2 linked regions of the Sus scrofa genome follow. The protein of the gene in region 1 purifies or fractionates together with the protein of each later gene. This does not show direct contact. Links are inferred from orthologs where the notes say so. Each region holds a gene or a part of one and is shown in the gene's direction. Other genes may lie near its edges. The genes, in order: GNB1 and PFDN5.

What was found.
Region 2: the proteins of GNB1 (region 1) and PFDN5 purify together in Homo sapiens (co-immunoprecipitation; 3 studies listed by BioGRID and IntAct, with this or other methods). This does not show direct contact. The link is inferred for Sus scrofa from reciprocal best matches to the Homo sapiens genes GNB1 and PFDN5.

The regions. Positions count from the first base shown.
Region 1 is NC_010448.4:63,866,529-63,870,688, reverse strand, and holds the end of GNB1 (guanine nucleotide-binding protein G(I)/G(S)/G(T) subunit beta-1), read left to right. Parts: intron 1-289; coding exon 290-506; intron 507-1,500; coding exon 1,501-1,607; 3' UTR 1,608-1,616; intron 1,617-1,817; exon of another isoform or gene 1,818-1,820; 3' UTR 1,821-3,501; downstream 3,502-4,160. Other genes in the region: uncharacterized protein LOC110261347, read right to left, coding at 3,502-3,859. UniProt on the Homo sapiens protein: Guanine nucleotide-binding proteins (G proteins) are involved as a modulator or transducer in various transmembrane signaling systems.
Region 2 is NC_010447.5:18,511,144-18,515,612, forward strand, and holds the start of PFDN5 (prefoldin subunit 5), read left to right. Parts: upstream 1-1,493; 5' UTR 1,494-1,575; coding exon 1,576-1,647; intron 1,648-1,853; coding exon 1,854-1,956; intron 1,957-2,261; coding exon 2,262-2,293; intron 2,294-3,795; coding exon 3,796-3,870; intron 3,871-3,986; coding exon 3,987-4,092; intron 4,093-4,469. UniProt on the Homo sapiens protein: Binds specifically to cytosolic chaperonin (c-CPN) and transfers target proteins to it. Binds to nascent polypeptide chain and promotes folding in an environment in which there are many competing pathways for nonnative proteins.

The DNA.
Region 1 (4,160 bases):
GCCTCCCTCCTGGCCCCTGACCGAGGGGCCTGGTGGTCGGCCTTCCTTCCTGAGGTCAGCCAGCCAGCCTGTGGTGCCCGCGGAGGCCCGGCCTCGGGGACAAGTGCAGTCTTCCTGTGCCCTCGGAGAAAACGAGGGGTGGTGGACGGTGGGCTTGGGGAGGAAGGCACACCTGCCCACCGCTCTGTGCAGGTCCCTGCCCTGGGCCTGCCTGCCCGCGGGACCCAGCCCTGCCTCCAGGCTCGCCTGGCGTGCGCATGCCCACTTTCCGTGTGTGCGTTCTCCGCAGTTCTTTCCCAACGGCAACGCCTTTGCCACTGGCTCGGACGACGCCACCTGCAGGCTGTTCGACCTCCGCGCGGATCAGGAGCTCATGACCTACTCCCACGACAACATCATCTGCGGGATCACCTCCGTCTCCTTCTCCAAGAGCGGGCGCCTCCTCCTCGCTGGGTACGACGACTTCAACTGCAACGTCTGGGACGCCCTCAAGGCCGACAGGGCAGGTAGGTGGCTGCCGGGGCCTCCCCGGCCTCCGGGGCACTCAGGCGGGGTCTCCCAGAGGCACAGGATCTCCTGACACGTGGCCAGCAGAGGGGTGGTGGCAGGGCCAGCCTTGCTCCCTCCTTCCCGTCGTTCGTGTTGGGGCACGAATCCAGGCAGGCATCCCCCGCCGTGCCCGCCAAAGCAGAGCCCAGTAGAGGCAGGCGGGGGGCCGTTGACGCGTGTATTCGGGGGCAGGTTGTGCGGAAGGTGGTCCCAGGGCTGAGGAGGGACCCTGGGGCCAGAAGTTGAACGGCGGCTCTTAGCCGGCAGTGCTTGCAAGGGTGGAGGGCCAGAGCGGGGCTCCCGCCTGTGGCTGCCCCTCTGTGTCGAGCCCCCACCGGTCCCCCAGCCCCTGCACCAACACTGGTGAGCGTGCAAGGTGGGCAGGGCCCCCTGAGGTTCCAGGCCTCAGATTCCCCCTGCCCAGGTGATTACCCACCAGGCTGCCGCGCGCAACTGCGGACCCGTCTCACGTTGGGGTTGCCGCGGGCATCACTCTGGCCTGATGCTCCCCCGAGATGGGGTGGTGTGGATTTTTTCTCTTGTGCTTCTGCTGTTTTTATTGAAGCTGTTGACTGCTGTGAGTGCTCAGGAGTCCGCGCAGGAGGCCCTGGGCTCTGGGACTGTCTGTGCCTTTCAGTCGTGTGGTCACACACACACTCCCAGCCGCTCTGCCCTGTCTCCCTTCTGTCTGAGGGCTTCCCCGGCCCTGGGCGCGTCCCCGTCCCCCCGTCCCCCCCCCCCGTTCCCCCCCCCGCCCCCGTGCGAGAGGAGCACAGCGGCCTCGCTGGCCTTGGCGGGAGTTGCAGGAGGCACCCCGTCCCTCCCCACCCGCCTCACCAGGCTTTCTCCGTCCTCATGTCCTTGCCCGGCCACTGCGCACTGCAGACTGGCCCCGGGGGCTCTGGGGCTGCCACCCCGGGCCCTCGGGCGACTGCTAGGGTTTGCTCTCAGGTGTCTTGGCTGGGCATGACAACCGCGTCAGCTGCCTGGGGGTGACGGACGATGGGATGGCCGTGGCGACGGGATCCTGGGACAGCTTCCTTAAGATCTGGAACTAACGCCAGCAGGTACCGCGCGGCCAGGCGCCCTCTGCATGCGGCTCTGTGTTTCTCGTGAGCCGGTGCAGTCGGGGTTCAGGGTTCCTCGATGAGCTCTGATGCGGGGGTTTTGGAATCCGATGCGGGGTGAGGGCAGCATTCGGAGCCGTGGTGAGGACGGAGCTGCACGTGGGGGTCTGTTTCTTTTCACATCTCTAACTCTGTTTAAAGCAGCAGGTGGACGCCGCGGGGACTGGGAGGCCCTTCCAGCCTGGGAGCGTCACGGTGATAGCATTTCCCACCCACCCACTAACGCGGACGCCCTGCACCCCCTCCGGACTTCCAAAGGGCAAGATCTTCTCCCTTCACTATTGCCGAAACCAAGAGCACAATTCCCACTGAGAGCAGAGCCTCCGTGCTGTAAACTAAGCAAATCGTGTGCATTCCTGCGGGACCACTGTTCTTGTTTCTTCCTGTTCCTTTGTGTTTTTTTTTGTCCTGAATGAATTGAAAAGGAAATACAATAATAAAAACATTAACCAGAAGGTAAACTTGAGTGTAATTGTGAGACAGACACACCTTTTCACTCATTTCTTTGGAGTCAAGATGAGTGACCCTGTTTTGTGATGTTTAGGCAGAACCGGCTGGGGCCGCATCTTGTAATGGACTCTGAACTGCAGATGGTGTTTGTAACAGGATTTTGCAAACCTTCGCATTTCTTTCTTAACATATATTCCTTTCTGTTCCGTAGTTAAACAGAGAAAGAGGGTCTAGCGCAGCCTCTCTGCCATTGTTAACGATGTACATTTAGTCCCTAGATTTTTTACTTGGCGTCTAGTGTCACGTGATGATTGCGCACGAACACGGCCGAGGAGGAGGAGGAGGAGGAGGATGCTGAGAAGCCGAGGCTCTCACGCTCTGCGGACGCCCGTCAGGCACCTCTTCGTCCCGCCCGGCCGGCCCGGCCCTCTCTGCCCTCTAGCTCAGCTTTTAGTCTCACCTGGGGTCTCCTGGCGACAGTGGGGGCATCGAACAGGAGCGCATCATGACCCCGAGTCCCACCGCAGCCGTCAGGAGTCTGTTTGCCAGAGAGGTGCCCGTCTGTGCTTGGATAGTCGGTCCGTTATCTGTGTATGAAGCAGTGTACAAATTAATGTTTTGAAAATAATGATCTCAAACTTTCTAAGTTAAATTTTAAAAAAGTTGATTGTTTGCCATATTGGGTGGGTTTACTCTTAGAATCGCATGCTGTAGAAATGCTCAAAAGTGCATACAGGACTCAGTCCTTAGATGTTCCTTTTCTTTTAAGAAATAACCTCTTGAAAATTGTAACCGTTGCAGCTCTGTCCACTTAGCGCTGCTCCTCTGTGCACACGCATCGCATCGGAAGCCGCGCAGTTAGCGGTTCCACACGCTCAAGCAGCGGGATAAGTCACTGTTTTCTTTCTTTCTTTAAAAATCAAGTCCTGTTCCAAGCGATTGCTGTCGGATTGGGGCGGGGAGTGCGGGGATCGAGACCTCAGCCTCACGCTGTGAGTTCTGCACGGCCTGGCCCTCCCTGGGAACCAGCCTCTGGCATCTGAGGCCAACCCTTTCTAACAAGCGGACCTCCCTGGTTTGGGGTCGGGCCCAGGATTGAGCAGCAGCGTCTGGACAGCGGCCGGCCTCCCCCTGCACCCAAGCGCTCCCGCAGCAGCAGCAGCAGCTTCTCCATCCTGTGTTTGCAACATCCTGTGCAAACTGCTGGCGCGGTTGGCCTGGGCCTGCAGCGGGTGGGACGCGCCCCTCCCCTGTCGGCGCCTCCTCCGTAGAGCTCTCTGCACCCTGCCCTTCTCCTTTTGTATTTAATTTTTAAGTCCGTGTACTGCCAGGAAGCTGGATGCGAGATAGATCCTATATCCAACTGTACTGTTATTTAAGATGTAATAAAGCAGTTTGACATGAGGGACTTTGCTGTGGCTGCTCGTTTGTGGGGCCGCTTCAGTTCCTGGAGGTTGTCGCCCTCCCCCGGTGGCCCCGTCCAATCGCGCGGCAGTGCCTCGGCCAGCCCTCCTCTCATCCCGCCTCCCTGGCCGTGCCCAGGGCAGTGGAGTCTCCCCCGTGTCCCACCTACCTTCCCCTCCCTGAGCCTGCGCCCCCACTGGTGGTGTGTCCTTCCTCTTCCGCCCTGAGACGCTGTGGCCGTTCCTCCAGGGACAGGCATCCCACCCTGTGCCAGGGCCACGTCTTGGTCTCCAGAGAAGAACTGTACAGCCTTGTAAGAGGAAGAGCATCTGCCAGCACGCGTGAGAAACAGAAACTTCAGTGTGTGTGACGAGGGCCCTGTGCCCCCTCTTCGTGACCCCAGGGAGTGGGGGAAGCGAGGGTCCTCCTGGCTCTGTCCGCAGGGGAGGGCCGGCGGGGTCAGCACGTCTGCAGGGGTCTCCTGGGTGCTCCTGCCAGGACTCACAGCCTGAACAGTGGGCTCGCCTGGCTTCAGCCTCTTCCCCCACTTGCCTCTGGAACCATCCCGTTCCTTGCAAGTTTTGGCACTGCCAGCTGTCTTACAAAATGCCAGAGGCCGTGCAAGGTGCT
Region 2 (4,469 bases), on another chromosome or scaffold:
CGCAATGTAGCTTGCAGGTGTGGCTCAGCTGTGGCTACAGCTTTTCCATTATGCTGCAAGTGCGGACCTAAAAAAAAAGACAAAAAAAAAAAGAGCGAGAGAGAGTCTTGGCCAGGTACTCTGATGTCTATCCTGTGTTCCTGCCCTCCAGAATCTGGGGAGTGACACTAGCTGTAATGCCTCAGTTGTCCTGTCCCCTTTCTAACTGGATGCTAGAGGCTGCTGTTCTCCCCACATACAACTGTTAAAGCTGTCAGTGCTATACACTTTAGCAGTATTCCTCACTTCTAGCACATGGTAACACTATTGAGTAACAAACCTGTTGCTGTGTTTGTTGGTTGATGAGGTACCTCCTTTGTGTTCTCTCCACCCACTCATCTCCACTCCATCTCTAGTCCCGCTTCATCTGCCCAAAGCCTCCTTTTACGACCAGAGAACTTAACAAGCTTCTTCCTTCCTTGCCAGTTGTCACTAGGGTTTATATCACCCACATGGTTTACTTTTTTTTTTTTTTGGTCTTTTTGGGGGCGCACCCGCAGCATTTGGAGGTTCCCAGGCTAAGGGTCAAATTGGAGCTGTAGCTGCGGACCACAGCCACAGTAACGTGGGATCCCAGCCGCGTCTGAGACCTACACCACAGCTCACAGGCAATGCTGGATCTTTAACCCGCTGAGCGAGACCAGGGAGCGAACCAGCGTCCTCATAGATGCTAGCCAGACTCGTTTCTGCTGAGCCACGACGGGAACTCTTTTTAAGATTCTTAAATTCAGGAGTTCCCGTCGTGGCGCAGTGGTTAACGAATCCGACTAGGAACCGTGAGGTTGCGGGTTCGGTCCCTGCCCTTGCTCAGTGGGTTAACGATCCGGCGTTGCCGTGAGCTGTGGTGTAGGTTGCAGACGCGGCTCGGATCCCGCGTTGCTGTGGCTCTGGCGTAGGCCGGTGGCTACAGCTCCGATTCAACCCCTAGCCTGGGAACCTCCATGTGCCGCGGGGAGCGGCCCAAGAAATAGCAACAACAACAACAATAACAACAACAACAACAACAAAAAGACAAAAAAAAAAAAGATTCTTAAATTCACAGGAATCCTGTTTGCTGCAACTTGTCGACGCTAGGCTTGGGATGTTTTGTGTAATGAAAGCGCTCCTGGGAGTTCCTATCGTGGCTCAGCGATAAGGAACCGGACTAGTATCCATGAGGTTGCGGGCTCGATCCCAGTCCTTATTTAAGTGGGTTAAGAATCGGCCGTTGCAGTGAGCTGTGGTGTAGGTCGCAGACACAGCTCGGATCCCGCGCTGCTGTGGCTTAAGCCGGTAGCTGCAGTTCCAGTTCGACCCCCAGCTTACGAACCTCCATATGCCTCCAGTTCGGTCTTTAAAAAAGAAAGCGCCGCTGTCTCTTCCACTCCAACGCAAGTAAATCACAGAGAAGACCCAGCTCTTCCTCCGCTCCCGGACGGAAGACCATAGAGATGTCGGGGGCAGCGAGGCCTCCCGGCGTAGCCATCGAGAGGCGCAGAGGACGGCTAGAGCGTTGCTCACCCGGCGGCTTCCGCTTCGTTAGTCCTCCTTCCCAACATGGCGCAGTCGGTTAACATTACCGAGCTGAATCTGCCGCAGCTGGAAATGCTCAAGAACCAGCTGGACCAGGTGGGAATAGGCCCCCAAAGACACCCCTTTCCACCTCACTTCCTTCCCGCCACGCGTACTCCCTCGCTCCCCATTCTTCCCCAGCCGAGGGAGGAGGTTTCCCTTCCCAGGCAAAACCCCGACTCGGTCCCAGCACCCGCCCCTTCCCGGCGGTGCCCTCCTCTCCCACCAGCCCCCGTACTAACCCTCATTCCTCTTCTCTCTAGGAAGTGGAGTTCTTGTCCACGTCCATTGCCCAGCTCAAGGTGGTACAGACCAAGTATGTGGAAGCCAAGGACTGTCTGAACGTGCTGAACAAGAGCAACGAGGGTATGCGGTAGGCGCGTGAAGGCAAGCTGGGGGTTGGGGCGAGCCGGCTTTTCCTCTCTCTTCCTTATCCAGTTGTCCTTATCTGAGACGAGAGAACGGTCCTTTACGTATTGCATACTGCTGCAGGAGCCCTTTGCATGTTGCCTTGGTAGACTTGAAATGTACAGGACATTCTTCTCCTGTTGCCCCTATTTCCATACTTATCGCACAGTCTCTGGGCGCTGTGCGGTGCTGAAACTCCCTTGAACGTGTAAAGGCTGGAGAAGTCCACCTTCCCTACATGTCTGTCTTAATTGCTTTCACAGGGAAAGAATTACTCGTCCCACTGACGAGTTCTGTATCCTTTCTGCAGGAACTGTTTCCCCGCCCACTCCTTTTCTCCTTCACCCCCTACCCTGCAAAAAAGGGCAGAGGTTCTAATTGCTCCAGAGATTCTGAGAATACTCAGTACACACTTCGTAGCTCTGCTATCTCATTGGAGCCAACATCCAGCTAATGTTTGGTGAGCACCAAGGTGTATGTAGAATTGAGGTGTGATTTTTTTCCTTCGCTGTTTGAGGATATAATCTAATAGGGAGATAAAACTGGTGGTTTACACTTTTGACTTGTTTTTTGGGTTCTTTTGCCTCACCCGCAGCATGTGGAAGTTCCGGGGCCAGGGATTGAATCTGAGCCACCTCAGAGACAACACTGGGTCTTTAACCTGCTGCACCGCAGCAGGAGCTCCCTACCCTTTTTACTAATAACTTAGAAAACAGAAGCAGTGGAAGAAGAGAGGATATAGAGACAAGGGGGTTGGCTCTGTTTATTAATCTTCAATTTTAGTTTAATTGTGGATCTTATTTCTAATCCGTTGTTACTGAGAAGCCTGGATTGTGTCTATCTGTTGAGTGTTTTACTTGAATGAGCCAATTGTGTTAACAGGGCACCTATAAACTGCACCTGAGAATTGATAGGCTGAAAAAGAAACACAGGAATAGCCGCATAGTAGGGACTGCTTAGATAAGGAACATTAAATCTATTGGGAATGACCTACTTCATGGTTGGGAGTGTTAAAGGAGAAATGAGGCTGGCTTTTCACTTTTACTATTTAACAGCATCAGGAAAAATCATTCCAGGAGTTCCCATTGTGGCGCAGCAGAAACAATCCACTACTAACCCTGGCCTCCCTCGCTGGGTTGGGGATCTGGTGTTGCCGTGAGCTGTGGTGTAGGCTGGCAGCTGCAGCTCCGAATCAACCCCTAGCCTAGGATCTTCCATATGCTGCAGGTGTGGCCCTAAAAAGAAAAAAGAAACACTGCATCTAGTCTTTATGGAGTTCCCATCATGACTCAGTGGTTGATGAATCCGACTAGGAACCATGAGGTTGCGGATTTGATCCCTGGCCTTGCTCAGTGGGTTAAGGATTCGGCGTGGCCGTGAGCTGTGGTGTAGGTTGCAGACCCGGCTCGGATCCCGCGTTGCTGTGGCTCTGGCATAGGCCGGTGGCTACAGCTCCGATTTGACCCCTAGCCTGGGAACCTCCATATGCCGCGGGTGCAGCCCTAAAAAAGACAATAAAAAAAGCCATCTAGTCTTTCTGGAAGGGCTAATGGGAAGAACTCTAAGAACTTCTTGGAGGGTGGCAGTGAGATCAGGGCAAGATCAGCATGTGTAATTTTCTCCATAAGGAACCAACTTCCCTGTGTCTCCCCTTTGGAGTGTGTAGGCCTCCAGATTATCTGATCCCGGTACCTTTTAAGTTTTTAGAAAAAGGGGTTCTTAGGAGGTCAAGCAGATGAGCCGACAGGAAATCAGGACTCATGCTGGGCTAGTTTTCCCTTAATCCTCGCTTCTCAGATGTACGTCCCTGGGAAGTTGCATGATGTGGAACATGTGCTCATCGATGTGGGAACTGGCTACTATGTAGAGAAGGTGAGTGGAAGGAAGCGTATGGATGCCCCGCTGAGGAGGCAGAGGGAGTTTAGGGAGAGATCCAGAGTGCACAAAGAGGTCTCCTCTTAGCCCCTCCTTCACCTCTGACCTTCCAGACAGCTGAAGATGCCAAGGACTTCTTCAAGAGGAAGATAGACTTCCTCACCAAGCAAATGGAGAAAATCCAGCCAGCTCTGCAGGAGAAGCATGCCATGAAACAGGGTAAGCTTGGCCTTGGGCACCTCTTCACCATTTCTACCTCCATAATAATCAAGAACATGAATTGCAGCGTGAACCATGGCGGGTGTCCCCTTTGTTGGATTAAAACCATGGTTTTCTCTTTGGTGTCTTGATGTATTATTCTTTAGATGCTGTGCATCACATATCCGCTATTTCTAGATTCCTGGGTTCAGTGCTTGAGAAATTTAGAGAAAGGAAATCCCATCTGTGTTTTTGTGTTTGAGATCCTATTTAATGTAGATGGAATAGGGAAAAAGATGCATGTAAATGAACACACAGGAAAGAAATAAAGCCCTAACTAGCTATCTACTGGCAAGTAAAGCTTTGGCTGTACCTGGAGAATTTAAAAAGAAAACCTG